Drosophila melanogaster: one gene and its partners. The protein of the gene in region 1 purifies or fractionates together with the protein of each later gene. This does not show direct contact. Each region holds a gene or a part of one and is shown on either strand. Other genes may lie near its edges. The genes, in order: Rsph3, Rsph1 and Rsbp15.

What was found.
Region 2: the proteins of Rsph3 (region 1) and Rsph1 purify together in Drosophila melanogaster (affinity purification with western blotting; one study listed by BioGRID). This does not show direct contact.
Region 3: the proteins of Rsph3 (region 1) and Rsbp15 purify together in Drosophila melanogaster (affinity purification with western blotting; one study listed by BioGRID). This does not show direct contact.

The regions. Positions count from the first base shown.
Region 1 is NT_037436.4:6,756,129-6,765,218, reverse strand, and holds Rsph3 (radial spoke head protein 3), read left to right. Parts: upstream 1-4,104; 5' UTR 4,105-4,328; coding exon 4,329-5,278; intron 5,279-7,108; coding exon 7,109-7,199; intron 7,200-7,284; coding exon 7,285-7,700; intron 7,701-7,764; coding exon 7,765-8,287; 3' UTR 8,288-8,590; downstream 8,591-9,090. Other genes in the region: Ist1, read left to right, coding at 8,815-8,996, 9,061-9,090.
Region 2 is NT_033779.5:13,180,184-13,186,058, reverse strand, and holds Rsph1 (radial spoke head protein 1), read right to left. Parts: upstream 2,610-5,875; 5' UTR 2,471-2,609; coding exon 2,396-2,470; intron 2,232-2,395; coding exon 1,272-2,231; 3' UTR 1,184-1,271; downstream 1-1,183. Other genes in the region: CG16974 (uncharacterized protein), read left to right, coding at 1-642; Mgat3 (beta-1,4-mannosyl-glycoprotein 4-beta-N-acetylglucosaminyltransferase), read left to right, coding at 3,607-5,070; Alg7 dolichyl-phosphate N-acetylglucosaminephosphotransferase, read right to left, coding at 2,660-3,152, 5,664-5,875.
Region 3 is NT_033777.3:12,219,763-12,225,680, reverse strand, and holds Rsbp15 (radial spoke binding protein 15), read right to left. Parts: upstream 3,295-5,918; 5' UTR 3,199-3,294; coding exon 3,015-3,198; intron 2,948-3,014; coding exon 2,469-2,947; intron 2,409-2,468; coding exon 2,328-2,408; intron 2,241-2,327; coding exon 1,719-2,240; 3' UTR 1,633-1,718; downstream 1-1,632. Other genes in the region: CG12256 (uncharacterized protein), read left to right, coding at 1-99, 162-317; CG17404 (uncharacterized protein), read left to right, coding at 676-745, 809-1,404, 1,457-1,618; CG4860 (uncharacterized protein), read left to right, coding at 4,231-4,264, 4,326-4,565, 4,696-5,669.

The DNA of each region.
Region 1 (9,090 bases):
GACTAATGTGGTGAATCTAGGCCACTCAATATTTTCCAGATTACGCTTACATTTATTTTCACAGATTTACCCATAACTACATATTTTATGATCCTGTTGGCGCCACAGTCGCACATAAATAACTCATAAAAAAGTGCCCACAACAGCAGCCCGCAGATAATTCAACAATTGTGTCTGCCGAATGTTTTTTACGATCCGCAACCGTTAGGAACCCGAAGATCACTTTCCCTTCGACAAGCGGTAATAAATTAATCAAATCCCGTGCTGGACGTAATTTTTCCAGGGAAAATTGCAGCTCACACCTACACAGTGAAATGGATAGTATCTTGAGGAATATCGAGGAGTATCCGCAGTAAATGATTTGTTTGACAAGAAGCCAACAAACTCAGTGGGATGCCTTTGCCCGGTGACTTCGCAGAATCCGTATCGTATCTGAGCAAATGATCGGGAAATTGCGGGACAAGATCTCAGTCGCCAGTTGTCGCCTGTGTGGCCATCATTAACCTTTGAACTCACTAAATGGCCAAAGGACCACAGCGAATGTCAAACGTCATGGCCACTTATCGAGTGCGGACTGTTGTTCCTGTGATCTTATTAGGCATTTTCGGGAATTTCAAGGGGTTCGCTTCGGACGCAATTATCACCCCCGCATAAAGCGAAACGTCATCGTTGACAGCCACGTCATTGTTGTCCAGTCCGAAGACCAAAGTCCTTCGAACTATTTGTTAATGAATAGACAGAACCATACAAAAGATTCTGTGTAACTCGAAACAGAAAAAGGGGGTCAATTCAAATGACAAACGTTCGATAGTCCGAGATATGATAAGCCTTGAAAACCTAATTAAATGACACGTTCCAGGGAAATTCGATTCAGGCGTGGCTACATCGAAACGTTTTAACTGATGGCAAGCGATTTAACTTAGTGATAAATAGTTTAGAAAATTCAAAGTCATTTTAATATCAAGGAATTAGTGAGATTTTTTGATGTCCCCAAGGCAATTGTGCAACCAAATAGACCAAAAATGTAATTTATCTGCAAACTTACCACTAATCGATGATAACAATTTTGAAATAAAATTTTTTTATAAACTTTTTTCTTTGTTACTGTAAACTATTTAATATTAGCCAATAAATAGTAGCATTGAAAACTGCTTGCAATTTAGGTTCGGGTTTACTGCTTGCTGACAAGTAAAACAAAGTATACATATGTATAATATACATTTTACTGTAAAAAAATATTCACATTGTAAGTGTATAATGTCATGTAGAAAAATATAGTTATTTTGCTTAGGACTTGTAAAATGTTTTAACCATTTTAGACCTTAATGAATAATTTTAAAAATTGTAAAATTTATACAAAAAACATAAATAATTATTTTTCTGCCATCCTGCTTAAATTTAACGATGCGCTTAAAGTGTCAATTAAAAATCTATCTATGAATCAAAATCCCGAACAGCAGCTGTATCTGCAGAATGCATGCAATGTAGTTGGAATAATAAATCAGTAATAATAAAATGATAATGATAAATAATAAATAAATTATATTGGTATTTGGTCAAGTCCAGCTAAAAGCTAATAAAGCTCCTTAGAAAAAGTTGCTTTGCATTAGTTTCTCCTTGCTAGGAAGATATAAAAATAGATTCCTCATACTGAATGATAGTTAGTTGTGTATAATATATGGGAATGTGTAGTGACCATTCGCTAAGCGAAAGTTAGAAGGAAAAATTGCAAATGTCTCGATAGACTTTCAGTCAAAAAACGAACAAAATCTATCGAGTGTTAATACGAATAAAGTGCATTGCCAAAGACCCATCCCCACACAGCAACAGTTTAACAATGCCGACTTTCAATTCCCATGGCAACTGAGGAAATTCCGCCGTCGTTGTTTATTTTGGATACAAATTTTTTGATAATACAATATTTTTTTAAATATGGAGATAAAAACATAGGACAAAGAACTCCAGTGAAAATGTGTCACATAAATAAATCTATTTTGTACACATAAATTTGGCAAGCGGTAGACCTTTATCCGATATATATATTTTAAGTTTTTAAAAACCTCAATAACGCAACATAGCAATAGTTAGCAATGCCGACGATCCCGAAGAGGGATTACAAACCCAATGGTGGTGGCAAAAGCTCAGGAATGGATTTCCTCAGTTCCGGCATCAAGGGAACCGAGGTCACCGAGATGCAGCTCAAGTGGCACGAGAATCCTTGTCCAGCGCCACCATGCAAACAGGCATTTTGGTGGGCCAGCCATCCCAAGCCGATCAAAATCAAAGGTTGCCCCAAGTAAGTATCAAACAGAAGCCACCCAAAGAATTTCCCATGCTTCCCTGTAATTCCCTGTAATTTAAGTCCGACAAGTAGGGTATATTGAATATTTCGTAAAATTATATTATAATATTAATCAACTTTCTTACTTTCTTTGTAATTTATATAATATATAATAATTCAATAAGTAGTTAAGAAATCATTTATACGCTACAAATATGAACCATTAGAAATTGTAAGCTCGAGTTAATTATCATGGGTATTACTCCTCTTGTAATGAGTATCCTATAGTTGCAAAACCATTGCTTTTTGTAACGCCTTGCAGGGGAATTTTCTACACCTTTATATGTCTCCCCACTGGGGTCAATGGAACCCAAGACCAAAAACGAAAGTCATAAATTGCGTAAATAAATTATTAAACGCTGGCCGTGTTCGGCTGATGGTCAATACAATGGCCCCACTAAAGGACACGCAAACTTGGTACGATTTTGAATAGAAACATTCGTGTTCTGAAGGGAAACAATAGAAGGAGTGCACAGGACAGGAAATTATGAGGAGTGTGGAAGTCGATGAGTGCTTAAAACTATTGTAGAAATTGACGCACTAGTATCATAAAAATATACAAATATATCTGACTACCGATAATGACGGGGGCTGGACTTGGGTCGGATTAAGGTCAACCAGGGAATAAGGATGATCCCCAAATATGATAAAAACCCAATAAACTATAGTGTATCTAAATCCAGTTGTAGTAAAGTGCTCATTCTTCTCTCAAGCTAAAAATCGAATAAATACTACAGTGTGGTATATCTTATATCTTATCATTTATTCGAATATATTAGTACATCAATTCTGAACTGTATATGTTCAAATTAGGATAAGAATACCGTGCTTTAGGTCAGCCAACGAATTTAATCATATAGAAGTATGATTGAGTGAAAGAAAATTACCTTTTTTAACAACAGGCTTTACCAAAAGCTTTTGGACTTCTGATACATTCTTACCAATTCCTGTTACAATAATCTTTCATCTATTCACTGACCTTTCTTCATTGCCAGTAAAAAAGAGTGACTCCTTGGAGTGCCAAGAAATCTACTTAATTATGCTTAGTTCCCTGTTGAATTCCGCTTATCAGGCAGTCCAAGCAATTGACCTTGGCCATTGACAATACCTAGGAGGTGTTCCAAGTAATAGAGAGCCACCCACCTCCTTTTTCAATGTCAGGCAGGGAAATGCGTGAAGTCATCTCCGACAATGTGAAAGGAAATGTGGACACCATCGAAACAAATTCAAGGTCCCTCCGCCGGGCGAAACCTTTAATTGGAGACCCCAACGAAACTACTTGGATGGAAAAGAAAAAGCTCTTATGCAAAGTAGAATTCCTGGGAACGTGGATTTGGCCATGCCAATGCCACCGACTGTTAACAGTTCGCATTATTATTGCAACACCTGCCCATCATGTGCCTCAAACTGCGAAGCAAGCGATACACTCAGAAAAAAATTTGAAAAATATGTGTATATAGTATAGAAACTTACATTGTGGCACGCACGCGAAGTATTGTTATTTAAACTTATGAAACAGCAACATGAATAGTTTAAATATGCAATTTTCTATATAAACCAATTGCAGCACTTTAAGGATATTTTTACTAAAAATGTCCTTTGAAGTAACAGCTCAATTCCTGGAAAGCTTTAGTCGTGGGCAGTAGGAGACTATATGTTCCACATATTTTTCCAACTGCACGACGACTGCTGACCACGGGCCGAATCCAAAGTCGAAACCGGGTCCGAGCGCGAGTTCCACGAGTCCTGCGAGTCCTTTGGTCATTTGGCGTTTGCCATTCGAGCCGTGCGGTACGTGTTCCGCGACAAAATCAAACAATCAACCAACGAACGCAACACCTGAGCGGCGCACAAAAGGGAAAAATATAGGAAAAGTATTGATTAAGTTTTTCGGTGCGGCGGGTGAGAGAACCGTGTGGTGGCTATTTATAATGAACGAGGTGACCGGCGGCCGGGAGCAGGGATAACCGAGACGGTAGCGGAGACCATGCCAGAGACGGAGCAGCAGCAGCACCCAGCACACTCACATCCTGAACTTAAGCCAGATCCACAGCCAGTGCCAGAACTGGAGCACCTCACCGACAATAGACCGAATCGCGTGCAGAACTTCTCCTTCGCCAGCAGCTATCCCTACGCACCAGGACGCGTCTCGTCCAGCTCCAATTCGAACACCAACTACAGCTCCACCAACTACAACGCCGGCGGCTTCAACGTCCAGCGCTATCAGAGTCCCTACAATTTCCAGCACGTGGTGACCAACGCATTCTCGGTGCTGCGCCATCAGCCCTCCGAGGAGCCCGAATTCGATTCCTATCCAACGCGACCCCAACAGGCCATCGTGCGTCCGATTAGACGTGAGGCGGGCATAGCTGATAACCGTGATAATCATGTAGGGAATCCTCCACAGCGATCGCACTTCTCGCGCAGCAACCAGGAGGTGCGCAGCTTCGCCGATGAGCTGAGCCAGAAGCTGCGCTTCCTGGCGCCGGAGGAGCAGAACTACGGCGGTCGCCAGAGCGCCAATTCCGGTGCCTGGATGGATCCAGCGATGTCGCAGCGACCACGATTCGAGACCACAGTGCCGCAGGGCATCTTCCTGCCGCCTCCGCATGAGGTCCAAATGATACCGGCCACCATGCTGAGGAGGCATGTCTACGCCTACTCCTCATATCCCATGATCCTCCAAGGGTATCTCACCAAGGAGACCGGCAGTGAGAGCAAGGAGCAGAAGGTGACCGCCACCCGGCTGAACGGTTTGCGTGCCACGGCGGCAGTGGCGGCGGCCACAGCTGCGGCCTCCAAATCCTCCCGTAACGATACGCAATCCCTCGCCGGTGGACTCCACATCACCAAGGCTCAGTTCCAACAACAACTGCAACAGCGTCGCTCCACCAGCAACAACAACAACAACAGCAGCAGCAACATCAGCGACAAGAGGTAATAAAAAGACCAACCCCCAAAATGGTATGGGTGCTAAACTTGGAAGTAAAAAAAAAAAAGGTGGGAAGTGGAAAAGGTCCGACAACTGACCAAGGCAAAGTGGGCCAAAATATATTACCATAAATTCAAATGAGTAATACGTACGTACCTACACTGCCATTCTGCAATGGAACCAGAACTTAGCTCCCCACTTCAGTTCCTACGGCCATTATCGATTGACACCCAAACAATTCAATTACAAATAGGTTTTGTGGTTTAAAGTGCCGAATTGAATCCTTCAAGGATTTGTTATCTAAACTGATATAGATTCAAGATGATACCTTATTGATCTGTTTTTAGACTTTACTATGACACGCAAATAGAATGGAAGGCTCTTCATCAGCCAAGTTTCTTGTGTGGCTCACCCACTTTCACAATTAACTCTTTAACAATTCAATTAGAAATGCTTTTCCAATAACATTCGGACATTGTAAATTCCCTGAACGGTTTGATTAATTTATTTAGCGCATTCTCGAATGGGAAAACTCGTTTGCCTTGCATAAAAGAACATGCGAACAAATGGACAAATGGACAAAGGGACAAAGGACCCTCGAATGTGTCGTGCCAGCGGAGAATATTCTATATTCCCAGCTCGGGGCTTAAATAATTTAAATCAAGATTTCGTAAACAACAACAATATGTACCCATTGTACCAAAGCACAAATGGAGGGATATTAAGTTCAATTACCACACCAGAGAAGAAGGACACCTATGGCACAATAATAAAAAAAAAAAAAAAAACAAAAAACAGGTCCTGCCGGTCGTTTTTACCCAAATGGGATGTTGTTCGGCCAAATGGGCTATACTTTTTGGGTTACGAAAAATGAAATATCACACTCAACGTTTAAATAAAGAACCTATTAGGGAGATAACTATTTTATAACTCAAAAAGGATTCACCAACTTAGATTTTCGTTCAGACCATATATCCCTCATAAGGACATCGCACTAAGGGTTTCCCGTTCCATTTGCTGATGTCTGTGGTGCGCAGACCCAGACCCAGAGAAATGTTGTTAGACATTCGCCAGCAACTTCAATGTGACTTCCTGTTTGTGGGCCAAAAGTAGCTGCGAATTTGCATAGGTCACGAGTTCAGGTGCCAAGTTCTTCTAGTGCAATGTCTAACTACGTTATATACTACTTCTACTCGCAGTCAGCATGTATGTATCAGCATATATGTAGAAATGTAAGAAATGTTTGTTTCCCCATTTACTTGCCGGTGCTATACATATAAATTAGCAAGTCATAAATTACTCAGCCACCGCGGACTGGACTCGTGGAACTTTAAGCAGGCTTTAAACTCTGACCCAAAAGTGTACTGAACTTTGGCGAAATTGATTCGAATCGGAGATGACCTGACAAGCAGTCTGCGAGGGCGTTGGGAAATGAACAAATTTGATGTTTATCGCCTTGATAGTGCAACAGATTTGGGTCTTGGCAAATGCAGCAAAGTGCACTGAAACTGCAGCAAATCAAAACTAAATAAATAAAATATTTAAACTTTAATAGAAAGAAGTTAACAAATCTAAAGATAACTAAAACTCATACACTTTTAACTTGCTTTTCCAGCAGCAATTACAATATTTATCCATACATAGATATCATATTTATTAGAGAACTTAACCATTTATGTAGTAATCCTTTTAAGTTGCACATTTACGAACCTTTTCAAAAAGTCTGCAGCTTTTTTGCTGCATGAGCAGTTTGTTGAACTGGGTCGAGGCTTACTAATTGGTGGCTCCCACCTGGGCAACTCCATGCCCGCTTCTCCACTTTGCTCCTCTTGCAGACCCGTCGTCCCGCCGCCGGAACCCTACAAGAACGTCATGTACGACCGTCGCGTCATAAAGGGCAGCAACTTCGGCAACGCCTCTCTGGTGGTAAGTCCCATCAGTTCAGCTCAGCTTAGCTCAGTGCTCTGGCAGCCCTGACCTACGACTAATCCACTTTTTGCTTCCTCTCCAGACGGATGTGGATCCCTTCGACAAGGCCGCCGAATTGAGGCGTCGCAATATGTTGCGCAAACGGACGATGCAGTGCCGCAATCAGAGAAATGTCCTGGGCACACCGCCGCCGGTCAAGGGGCGGAAGCACGAGACCATACAGACGGAGAAGTATCTGGAGAAGTTGGTGCAGCGTCCGCCGGAGTTCACCATCGACACGCAGACGGACCTGTTCCTCGAGAAGCCGCCGACGCCTCCGTTCATACCGGCCAAGGTGGGCGTGGATGTGGCCACCGAGATCGGTGAGGGCGAACTCTTCCACTTCGATGCCGAGGCGCAGCCAATCATCGATGTCCTGGTGGACGCCTGCATTGAACAAAGCATGCTGGAGGTGGCTCACGAGATGGAACTGTCCAGTCTGCGACGCAAACAGGAAGAGTACGTATAAAAAGTGTAAAGTAAATCTTCAGATTACTATAATGGCGTTTTGTGTTACCCACAGATTCCTGGCCCAGAGGGAGGCGGAACTGGCCGAGCTGCGCCGTTTGGAGGCTGAGGAGCTGCGCTTGCAGGCGGAGAAGGAGCGTCGCCTGCGACAAGATGCGATTGCCAAGGAGCTGGACGCTGAGATGCAGAAGAGCGTGACGGCGGCCAAGTTGCTCCAGGGACACATTGCCAGTCTGGTGCCGGAGGTGCTGGAGAACATTGAGCCGGCCAGCGATGCCGTTAAGAAGGAGCAGCTTATGAAGAGCGTCTGCCCGTGGTTGTCCGCCGAGGTGGCCGAGGAAGTGGGCCATATAGTGGACTCGCGCGAGATTCTCACCGCCATCATTCAGGAGATTATCAAGCAGCGTGCCGAGATCTATGCCGGCTACAAGGAACCTGAATCGGAACCATCCGGACCGGATGCGGGCGTTTGTGAGGAGGAGGGCTGTGCCATCGATGAGATGGAGGCGTGTCCCTGCGAATCGGAAACGGAAATGGAGGAGTGCCCCGAACCGCCACCACCGGCTCCTCATCTCTAAGTGATTGCGTTCGAGTTTTAGTTCATATATATATTTCGAGTGGGATACTGATTCCGCACACATGTAACACTAACACACTCCTGCTATTAAATCAAGGTTGGCTGCAACTTTGTGGTTGTGTCTGGTGAAGAACTCAATTCGCCGCAGGATTCGAATCGAGCCTGGGCGCCAAACACAATTGCATAGCGGCGGCGGCGAAATGGCATCGAAAAAATGGAATGGCATATTGTAAACTGGATACTTGTTAAAGGTTTTTGTGTTACCGAAAATTCAACCAATAAAGCTCAACAAAATAAGCCGAACAAAACATTTTAGAAAATATTTTAAACGGTTGTTAAATTAAATTAAAATATTAATAGAGCCAAGCAATTTGAAATTTCAATGTTACCTTGGTATTTAAGGGGTCTGCATGTACGGTCACACTGCACGTGACGTCACATTGTTTTTTCCATACCGAATTAATGAATCACCACTGACCGAATTTCCTTGTTTTCACAACTAATTCGGAAGTCCAGGGTGTAGTGAAGATGTTTTCCAGCGGCCCCAATTACAACAAACTGAAGACCAATCTTCGATTGGCTCTCAATCGCCTGAAATTGCTGGAGAAGAAGAAGGCGGAGCTGACGCAAAAGTCCAGGAAGGAAATAGCCGACTATTTGGCCACGGGCAAAACGGAAAGGGCGAGGATTCGCGTGGAGCACATCATTAGGTGGGTGCAGGAATATATGAGCCATTCTTATACCTCCATATATCGTATATATCGTACATCATAGGGAGGACTACTTGGTGGAGGCAATGGAAAT
Region 2 (5,875 bases), on another chromosome or scaffold:
GATCAGCAAAAGCAGTTGGAGCACGATTTTAAAATGGAACCTCAGCTATTGCTTTACAATGCCTCCATGCTCTATATGAATCCCGAAGGCGCCAGCAGCAGTGGCCAGGCGGCGGCTTTGGCGGCAGCAGGGGCTCTATCGCAGTTCATAAGCGTGGAGGACAATAATCAAGAGCAGGAGATGCAGCCGCTAAGGAAGATCAGCGGTAAACCACTGGGGATGCCCGAACTGAAGGACTTGAACGATGTGAAGACCTCAAAGTCATGTCCGGCCATTTATAAGGTTTCCAAACAGCGAGATGGTAGCACACTGCATGAGTTGCAGAAGGAGGGCGAAGCACCATACCAAATGCTTCGCATAAATCCCGTGGAGACCACTTCGCTGACCTCAACCGTTGCTCCTGTGATGCAGGCGAGGACGGAGAAGCTGAACATTATCCTGGACGAATGCGGCACGGCGTCGTTGTGCAAAGCGGAACAGGAGGGCGACGCAGGGAATAGCGAGACTCCACCATCCGAGTCCAGTTGTGAGTCCAACAGCTTGGCCGCCAGTTGCGGCGATGTCTGCCAGGTCAGCAGTAAGCTGGCAAATGACGCCTCATTACCATCTACTCCCCCCAAGCCTGACCATGCCAGCACCTAGAGATTTTTTTAAATTAAACATTAGTAACGAAGATATAAACTGTATAGAAGTACGTAAATCAAACACGCATCTGCAAATGAAGTTAATGTTAATGGTTACGCTACAATGGTAGGGCGGACAACAATAATTAAACTTAGAGTTAATTAGCAAAACGCAGAAATTCAAGTGCTGAACATTAGAAAATATATATGTATATCGGAACAAGTCATACGATTACACCGACCGATGAGCTGATCAAAAACCAAGCTTAATGAATTTAAAATTGAGATCTATTCACAGCTGGATTCTATCGCTGAGGTATCATCACGTCAATAAAACTTGAAAAGAGAGCCCCCCATTTGTGATTTCATTACTTAACGAGTTTAAAGCATCAAAACTGTAAAGTGCAAGGCGTATTTTAAAATGAAACTGACAAATTTTAATTGAACTGTATGAAAATAAAAGCGTATATAACAAATAAACCATAACTTATATCAATTGCCGAATTCCTTATTCCAAGATAAAATCATTCTACGGCCACCGACTTAATATATGTTTTTTTGTTTTTCAGATATACTGATATATTCTTTCATTTGCAGGCAACATAAAATAACAATAACAAATGCATGTGGAATAGCGCAGCTACATTCCTAAGGATCTGGACACTCTGGTTGCTTGAGGATCTCAATGCAGCATGGATTGGCGTCGATTTTGCACACCTCGCTCTCCGTCTCCACCTCGCTGACATCGGTGAGATCGCACTCGCATGGGAAGCACTCCATCTCGCCGCCCTCCTCGCCCTCGGCCTCTTCACCCTCTCCATACCAACTGATCTTCTCCTCGCTGCGCATGCTCGGCTCAGTGGAGAGCGAGCAGACGGACAGCTCGGAATCGGAAATGGCCAGAGGCACTGGCTCCTGCGGCAGCAGCGAAAAGTCATACACGGCCATCTCCTGGGCGAACCATAGTGTTGGTTCCATTGGCTCCGCTTCACCCATCTCGTCCTCCAAGCGCTCCTCGGCGTCCTCCATCTCGTCTTCGTTGCTGATCGCCTTCATGTTGTAACTGGCGGGCAGGAAATAGCCCAGCAGAAGGTATCGATTGTTGAAGCTAAACACGGCCGGTCCACTCGGGTACAGGTTATCCCAAATTCCGTGAAGTATTGTGCACTTGTCCTCATTGCCGATATACAGCTCGAAGGGACCCGTTCGCATGTTGCTGTTCCAGGTGGCCTTCATTCTGACGGACAGGCAGCAGCCATCCTTTCCGCTGTTAAAGTGATAGATGCCCACCCCATGACGTTGTCCCTTGAACCAGTCACCCGAATAGTTGTCCCCATTCACATACTTGTACCGGCCCTTGCCGTGCTTCAAGTTCTTTCGCCAGTTGCCCTCGTACACGGATCCGTCCGGATAGATGAAGATGCCGCGCCCACAACGCTTCCCGCAGCGATACTGTCCGTAGTATCGTGAACCATCCTTGAACACGTACACCCCGATGCCGTGACGGCGACCCTTCCTGTAGTTCCCATCATACTGATCTCCGTTGGGCAGGATGGCCCAACCTCTACCTTGTCTCTGTCCGGCAGCATTTCGACCGCCTATGTAGAGCTGGGATTGAGGATTATTATAGATATTTGTTTTAATTGAGCTCCTTGCTTACTAAAAACTGTTACTACTAGAGAATGTTCGTATTAAAGTTACTCCACTAAAAATTTATTTCTTTTGAGGAAGGAAGATGCACTACTAAGAAACTCATCCATTTTGGAACTTACGCCTATATTGGGTCCCAAATCCTCCTCTTCCTCGGGCGCCGACAGATCCTCCTCGGACATTTCGGTCATGGCCATGGTGATGATTTTGAGTTAACTAACTCCTTTCGGTTCTTTTTATTGCCGAGTGAAGTAGATTTTTACTTACGAATTACGTTCGGGAAATATTTTGTGTAGGCATTAAATAAATGTATTCTGTTTGTATAGTTAACTTAGCAAAGGCTTACTACAATAAATATCAGAATCGAAGAATGATGAAATCGAGGGCTACGTTTTCGCATAGAAGTAGTTGGCCAGTGGATATCGTATGGTCAGGGCAATCAGTGTACACAGCACCTGGAATCCCATCAGCATCTGGGTGACCACTCGCTCGTGGACAGGTCCGAAAACGACTAGGACAAAGTTAATGAGCGTAAAGTTGTTGGTCCTAACAACTCCGTCCGCTTTGGTATGCCAGCTTATTAGTCGCAAGTTCCGCAGTACTGTGACCATCAGGCGACCCGGAGCGTTGAGATCCTCCAGGCGAAACTCCGTGGTGCTGATGTGGAGCAGATCCGTCTTGCTGTCGTACTTGGGCAGCCGGTGACGCGGACATGGCACAAAGTGGAACAGCTGCGGCGTGGAGTACAGGAAATTCAGGATCTGCGGCAGGAAGAAGAGCAGCAGCGTCTTGCTGAAGTGGCCCAGGATTCCAACCACGGCGAAAGTCATGCCGGCAAAGTAGCAGTAGGTGTCCCCAACAAACACCTGCGATGGATATCTGCGAAATAAGTAAGATAGAAAATATATTACAAACGAAAAGTTAGTTAGAAGTAAAAAAAATATTAGGAATTAACAACAAAATTACGCATGACAGAAAAATTAACATTATTATCCGAACTTTATTACATAAAAGTTTTATTTTTTGTGAATATGATAATTATTAAATTTAAGCTGACGAAAAGAGATTATAACGTATTTTTAAGTTTCAAATAACATCCTTAATAATTCGATAACAGTAACAACCAGTGTTGTAAGGCCCATCGATGCGAAACAGCCAGATTTACAACTGCAGCGGCGAACAGCTGACTGAGGACATTTGCGTCAGCTGTGCGGGGGAGTTGAGGGGTGCCGTAAAATTTTTGGGCGTGTTTGCCAGCAGAAGAAAAGCGTGAAAAGTACGAAAAATCGAAACGGAATGAGCAGGATGAACTGCAGAAAGTGAACCAGTGACCATGGTGAGAAGCACATTCCTGGCCACCTACAACCAGACACCGGTAGCCGGCGTTGGACGGCTGGCCATCACCAAGAAGCTGGTGCTCTGGTTGGTGCTGGTGCTGCAGGTGGGCTTCATCGGCTGCATATGGCTGCTGCAGATGAGCCGTGGCCAGGAGTCGCAGCAGCGCAGTGCAATGGACCAACTTGGCGGACGGGTCAACTTCGTGGCCAGCGGTGAAGCCCCTATGGAGAAGATGGCACTTGTGGGCGGAACCCACTGTCCGCATCTGCAGGAGAATGTCAACCGCTACGACAAGGACTTTTATCAAATGAAACCGGAACGACTGAACGAATCCCACCTGCCCGACTACAATGTGCCCGCCTATGTGGACGCGGAGATGGGTCTAACCCCAAACCTCTGGTGCTATCGCGAGGGGACCATCAACGAGAGCCAGCGGCTCAACGATGTGGACTATCTGATGGCGCCGCCTCAATGCAGATGTGAAAGTGGCTGGCACGGCAGAGATTGCGGCCAGCCGGAGATCATATGGCGAGCCCTGATGACGTCCAATCGGGCCAGTAAACGAGGCGGTAGCACACCGCTTCAACTGGTCGAGGCCAGTTCTTCTTCACTGCACCGCCTGTTCTATATGCTTGAATTGGGCGCCTGGGACCACCTAAGTCTGGAGCTCTTGGAGCTGCAAATTCGAGCGCTCATCGAGGTTGTGGACTACTTTCTCATATACTATGTGAGCAACGGCAGCAAGGAGCGGAGTCTGGAGAGCATGCTGGGCAGCCAAACGAGCTATACGCTACTACGCTGCTCCTCCGAGAGCAACTGCACCAGCTCAATGGCCTACAGTCACTTTAGGCGGCAGCTGTGGCAGCAGTGTGGTGTCCAAATGCAGGCACAGGACCTGCTGCTGCACGGGGACAGTGGAACGGTCTACGCGCCAGCAGCACTCAAGTTTCTGAAGTACTATGCCAAGGATGTGCTGCCGCTGAAATTTCGTTTGAAGTACAATGTATATGGATTCTACTGGCAGCATCCGAAGAAGACCCTCCTAAATGGGGTGATAAGTTCCTTGGGGCACCTGCACAGTGCCCAACTGGATGCTCACCGCCTGCACCGGCTGGCGAGCAGCACACTGGGTGATCTCAACCACTACGGCGGCTGGAACTGCGAGCTGTGCCTGCCTCCCGAGCAGATTGTGCTCCTGCTGCAGAGCTCCAGTCCCCGCAAGCTGCCAGTAAAACTACCCAACGATACCCGCAATGCCCACATCGATGCCAACTACATGCAGCAACTGATAGCCAATGGAGTTCACATCGATGGCACCACGCAGCTGCACCGCTTGCGGGAGCAGAGCGAGAAGTATTTCGCTCCGGAGGAGGCGCTCCAGCACAGCAGCCAGTACGGCCAGCTGCTGGTGAACCTATACGATGTGGACGTCCTGGAAGATCTGCAGGACGAAGACTAACTACGCCTGCCGAAGTTTGACTTGGGCATGGCAGCCTATCGAACCAGCATAAACCTACGAATATATATATTTATATGTGCCTGCTTTTGAATCCCCATCAAAGTCTAACAATCTCATAATCATCATATCATACTCTGCCTAATCCACTCATGCGAATGCCCTTCTGTGTTTTTGGCCAGGTGAATTCCAAATTTAGTATCTCAGCAGACAGGACAGACAGACCCGCCATCTGTGATAAGAAAAACCAGAACTAAACAATGAATTTATGAGAGGAAGTCGATGCAACCAACTGAGAGAAGTCTCAAATTTGCTGGAAAAAGTTGTGAAATGGGTTGATCGCAATTTAGCATTATTTTTAAGACATAACACACACGATCTGTATGAAAAAGCTTTTTAGACTTACTTTAAATATTAATACCAATTATCAGAAGGCAAGCAAATTTAAGCTTAGTTTTGGTTACAATTTTGAAGCAATTTTGAATTTGTGTTATTACTTTATTACTAACGTACCCTAATTATAATTAGACGAAAATTTGTTGACCTTCCAGATCAATTCAGTATTTATAAAAATAAAAATCAATTGGATTACTCACTTGTTGAACTTCCATAGCGCTAGGGTGGTGGCCAGGAAAGGCAGCATGAAGTAAATGGAGAATATATGCGAATCCACCTGGTGACCGAGCAACAGTTCAATGGCATTGAAGACCAGAATGGAGCCTGCAATAATAAAGGATTGTCCCACCTCCAGGCCATTGATGCCCGCCAGGATGTTGATGGCATTTGTGCAGAATACCGCCAACATGCC
Region 3 (5,918 bases), on another chromosome or scaffold:
TACAAGACACTGAGCAATTCCAAGTGCAAGGAGACGATGACCCAGCTGACGGACACAGAGATCTGTGCCTTGGAAAGGTTTGGCAAGGGTGCCTGTAATGTGAGTAGTATATTCAAGTGGAAATCGAAATAATGTTAGCTAATTTTGAAATACTTTTTAAGGGCGATTCTGGCGGTCCTTTGGTGATGAAGAGTGGTGAGTCCTATAAACAGGTGGGCGTCGTCTCCTATGGAACTGCATTCTGTGCCTCGAACAATCCTGATGTCTATACCAGAGTGTCCATGTTTGACGGTTGGATTAAGGAAAGAATGGTCTAAAGCAATATCACAATGTACAAATTGTCAAAACAAATATTGGAATATCGATCGCGAGTTATTCAAATATATTCTGATAAACTCTACTTTACCAAGTCAGTCAAATGTGGCATTATCGTTGTCCGTAAATATGTCTTGCAAATTCGTAATTAGATATTTGCATACCAGGTATCTGGGCTGCGTTACCAGCAGAAGCTCTCATTATAATTTCAATTTCAAGATCAAATATAATGGCATAACCAAGTAGCCAAGGTGACCCAGATATTTTGCGATACATATGCAAATTCTTTCGCCAATGTGGGCTAAGCTCTTATTTAAGAAGTGTGGCAGGTGCAAAGCCAGTGGCATTAGCCAAACAACGATGGGTCTAACTGAACAACTACTGCTGATCGGAGTTGTAGCTTTGGGAGGAGTCTTCGGGAGACTGAATTGTGAGTTTGAATTGGAATCAGTAACTCAGAATCCCCTGGTAACAGACGTGTATATTGTTAAAGCTCGTCAACCCAGTGGGTATACTCCACATCGTATTGTTGGAGGCGCTGACATCCCACCAGGCGAACATGTGCCCTACCAGGTTTCGCTGCAGTACAGAACACGCGGTGGTCAGATGCACTTCTGCGGTGGATCCATCATCGCTCCCAATCGCATCCTTACTGCAGCTCACTGTTGTCAGGGTCTCAACGCCAGTCGCATGTCTGTTGTGGCCGGAATTCGAGGACTGAACGAGAAGGGTTCCCGCTCCCAGGTGCTATCCTACAGCATCCATCCCAAGTATCAGGAACTGGTTACCAGCGATCTTGCCGTGCTGTCCATCAAACCTCCGCTGAAGTTAAATAACTCGACCATTAGTGCAATTGAGTATCGATCGCAGGGGAAAGACTTCGTTGGTGGAGGAGTTCCAGTAACCTTGACGGGATGGGGCCTCCGCTTACCAGTGCCCTTTCCCTTCTTGGATAATGTGAACTATCCCAATGTTCTTCAGCGCATGAGTTACCACACCATCTCGAACAGTGAGTGCAGGAATGCGGGCATGGAGAGCGTTACGGATACGGAGATCTGCGCCAGAGGACCTTTTAGGGGAGCCTGTTCGGTGAGTTGGATGATAATACACTAGCTAGATCATAGATTGATCTTGTTTCCAGGGCGACTCTGGCGGTCCTTTGGTAATGGAATCCAAAAATGGATTACAGCAAGTGGGCATAGTATCCTACGGGCTGGTGGTGTGTGGTCTATACATCTCTCCGGATGTCTACACCAGAGTGTCTACCTTCAGTGACTGGATAGGAAATCAAACAAAATCCTGAAGGAGAAGAGGATTCCAGCACTTTTCGATCAGTTTATTCACTTGCAGATAACATCAATTTAACAACTAAGGGAAAATTAATAAACACAGCATGGTTTCATCTACTCAGCTGCGGGAGCTTCTTCTGCGGGAGCTTCTTCAGCGGGAGGAGCTGCTCCCTCTGTCGGAGCGGGCTCCTCAGCGGGCGGTGGCGGTGCCGCTGCTTCTTCTGGTGGTGGTGGAGGTGCCGGCTCTTCGGCGGCTTCCGGTGCAGCCTCTTCTGCTGGCGGTGGGGCAGCCTCCTCAGCCGGAGCTGGTGCTGCTTCATCAGCAGGCGCCTCTGCTGCAGGAGCTTCCTCCGCTGGCTGAGCTTCCGCAGCCTCTTCATGAGCTTCTGGCTCTGCTATAGCAGTGGCCGAAGTTCTGGCCGTGGCCGGAGCAGTGCCTGGGGCAGATGGCGGCACAGTTCCGGGAGCAGTTGGTAATGGTGTTGGTCCGGCTGTTATCGCAGCAGTTGTCGGTACTGTCGAGAGATTTACGTCGTCATAGCCATCCTTTGCTGTATCCGGTGAAGAGCTAGCATCCACTTCAGTTGGTTCCGTTGGTTCGGCACAGGGGTCTACGATTGGCTTGGTAACCACGCGCTGCAAATTTGGCGTAAAAAATTAAGAAAAACAGTTTAAAATATAAATATATATAATGTAAAATAGTTTTTAACTCTTGTTACATACCAACATAACCTTGCGGAAGAATCTCTGAAGAACGCTCGCTGCCTGTTCCCTGCGCTTTTCCTCCCCGTCGTCCTCTTTTTCCTGTTGGATTTAAGTCATAACCAAGTTTAGGGGCAGACTTTTAGAAGTAGATTCACTTACCGCTGCGCAGACACAAACGCAAACTTCTTGCGGGAACTGGAGGCGAACCCAGTATCCTCGCCAAGCCGCCTGGATCGTGATGGCTGCCTGGTTGCGCATGGCCTCGTTGATACGCTTCAGTTCCCTGTCCCGGAAGTACTGGTAGAGTAGCTCCGTTCCATCGGCTCCACGTTCGGCGGACATATAGGCGTCCACGAAGCGCTTGTAGGCACTCTCGATGGCCGGCCGTGACATGACCAGCTCCTCGTCGGTAAACTTGCACTTCTGCAGCAGCTCCTCTAGGATGTCCACATCCTCGAACTTAATCGCCTGCTTGCCACGCCGCATCTCGCAGCGTCGTTTCTCGAGGAAGTTACGGAAACAGTCCTCTAGAACCTGGCCCATCAACTCGGACTTCTCCTTGGAGAGATCACAGACACAGAGGTCCGATATTATGCTGTCCACCTGGCGCAGAGAGCGATCCAAAATGGTCTTGGCCACTGTAAGAAAATACAGGCGTGCGTAAAGAAAAGTTTGATACTTTCTACATCCTGTGGGAGTACTTACCCATAGCCTTTTCCCTTGTCACGATCACCGAATGTAGATAGTCGATGATGAACTGGCAGAGGCACTCTTTCTTCGGCTGACACCTTAGCACCTCCCGTGTAACATCTGATAGAAGTTCCGGCAGACCCTCTGGAACATTAATCGCCTGCTGGCGCATCTTGCCACGCTGGATCAAGTAATTCATCTTCGTTTTTCAAAAGTATAAAGCAAAATTCTATAATTTTGAACAGTTTAGCTGAGAAGAAGATAATAATTCGGAAATGGTTCAGTTTTGAAATCCCTTTTAACCGGTCTACTACGTTAAGAGCAAATGAAAATAATAATTTACAGCGCTCTACAATGATTTTTACACGGACTGACTGCGAAATACCTTGCTGATGTAAGGTGCTCAGTTCTGTTTACTTAACCTAGATGGCGCTAGCAAAAAGCTGGTTTAAATGTTTAAATGGTGAAAAACAATAATGGGTTATATATTCTCAATTTGATCCATGAGCTTAAATGTTTCAAAAAACTGTCTCACACGTGTTCCTGAAAATTCCCAAAGTCCACTAACTTTGTAATATGTAAGTTGAAAAATTGTAATGTGTACTTGTGTTTCATGTGGGTAAAATGCACCTTGTACCTTTCAATGAAAGTGGGTGTGTATCGGAAATTAGCATTGCCTAATTTCGTATTCAGCCGGTATAGGAAATCAACAGGGTTCTTGGTGGATTCTTCTTTATCGAAATCCATTGAACCGCTTTCCCTTTCTGTTCTTTCAAATGATCTTTAACCCAGAAACTTGGTAATTTCACAAAGTTAGCGCCAAAACAAAATACTTTCGATCATTTTAGGTAGTACTATATAGTTGAAACACTTTATACGAACACAGTGGCGCAGTGGTGACTTCGGCGCTTATCAATACCATTTTTAAATGAAACTTTAAAATTTGTTAAAAACCGATTATAAATTACAAATTTGAAACAACTAAAATGATTTTAGTAATTCTTATACTCAATTAAAATCAATTTAAAAGAACCATTTTACAAAATCGATTAGTAGTTTTTAATAAACGGGACCCCCTTTCAATCTCCTCCCATGAACTTCGCCTCAAAAAGCTGCGTATAAAAGCTGTTTTCCTCGGTTGTATTTCGATCGGCTCGTCGACGAGTGCGAAAAAGCTTTCACTACCTCGATCGCAACCGGCACCACGGGCTTGGGATCAGTTGGCGACGGAATGCAGCAGCTGATCAGAGTGGCGCGGACGTTGGGTGAGGAACTGGGTGATTCCCGGCTGACTGGATGATCGATTTGCCGCCTCCGTCTTTGCAGGTCAACGCTCGAGCGGCGCATGGAGTGCGAGGATAATCGCTGGTGGAAACCGGGGAATCGCATGCCTGGCCGCCCTCTCCGAGACCCACCAGATTCTCCAGAAGACTTGCCGGGAGTTCGCCAATGCGGAACTGGCCCCCAAAGCGCGACACCACGACCGGGAGGAGCTTTATCCGGCGGAACAGGTCCGACGGTTGGGAGAACTCGGTCTCATGTCAGTGACGGTTCGAGAGGAGTATGGTGAGTTCCTATTTCAATTATAATATTTACAATATTTACATAACATAAAATATGTGATGTTTTCATTTTTGAAATGGTATATAAATAGATCATACTACTAGATTCCATTCATTAAATATTGATTTTTCAGGTGGTTCCGGATTGGATTACCAGGCCTACGCGATTGGCATGGAGGAGGTGGCTCGTGGTGACGCCGCCGTGTCCATTGTGATGGGCGTGAATAACCTGTACCTGGGTGCAGTGCAGCAGCATGGAACCGAGCAGCAGAAGCAGGATTTCCTGGTGCCGTACACCCAGGGTGAGCACATCGCCTTCTATGCACTATCGGAACCTGGAAACGGATCGGATGCAGGAGCTGCCAGCACCACGGCCAAGCTGCAAGGGGACAGCTACCAAATAAACGGCACTAAAGCGTGGATATCAAACTCCAAGGAGGCCAGCGGGGGTATCGTCTTTGCCACGGTGGACAAGAGCATGAAACACAAGGGAATCACTGCCTTTCTTACGCCCAAGGATGTTCCAGGACTCTCCATAGCCAAGAAGGAAAGCAAAATGGGCATGCGCGCGACTTCGACTTGCCAGCTGGTGCTGGAGGACGTTCACGTGCCGCGATCCCGGGTCCTTGGAGCTGCCGGTGATGGCTTCAAGATCGCCATGCAGTCCTTGGACTGTGGCAGGATCGGTATAGCCGCCCAGGCCACCGGTATCGCACAAGCTGCCCTGGAACTAGCCGTGGATTATTCGCAGAAGAGGGTGGCCTTCGGAAAGCATCTGGCACGGTTGCAGCTCATCCAGCAGAAGCTGGCCGACATGGCCACGCGGGTGGAGATCTCAAGGCTGCTAACGTGGCGTGCCGCTTGGCTGAAGGATAATGGGCTGCCAATCACAAAGGAGGCGGCCATGGCCAAGCTGCATGCCTCCGAGTCCGCCACCTTTTGTGCCCACCAGTGCATCCAGATCCTGGGTGGGATGGGGTACACCACCGATCTGCCTGCGGAGCTTTACTACCGCAACGCCCGCGTCACAGAGATTTACGAGGGAACCTCGGAGATCCAAAGAATTGTGATCGCCAACGCAGTGCTGCGGGAATTGGGAAAGGAGTGAAAGCCATTGTTGGTTTTTCTTTATTACTGCTGCCAAACCAATCAGAATTCTTGCTTTTACACTTGTTGTGTATGTAAATTAGTTTATCTATGCCAGACAAATGCATTTAATAAAGTATATTTAAACAAATGAAACCTGGATTTAGAAAAATATCTTTTTTCGATTAAATGAGGTAATTCCCCTAACTATAACTCTTTATGTTATATTGAAATGTAACGGCTTGCACATGACAGCATATCTAACATTTTT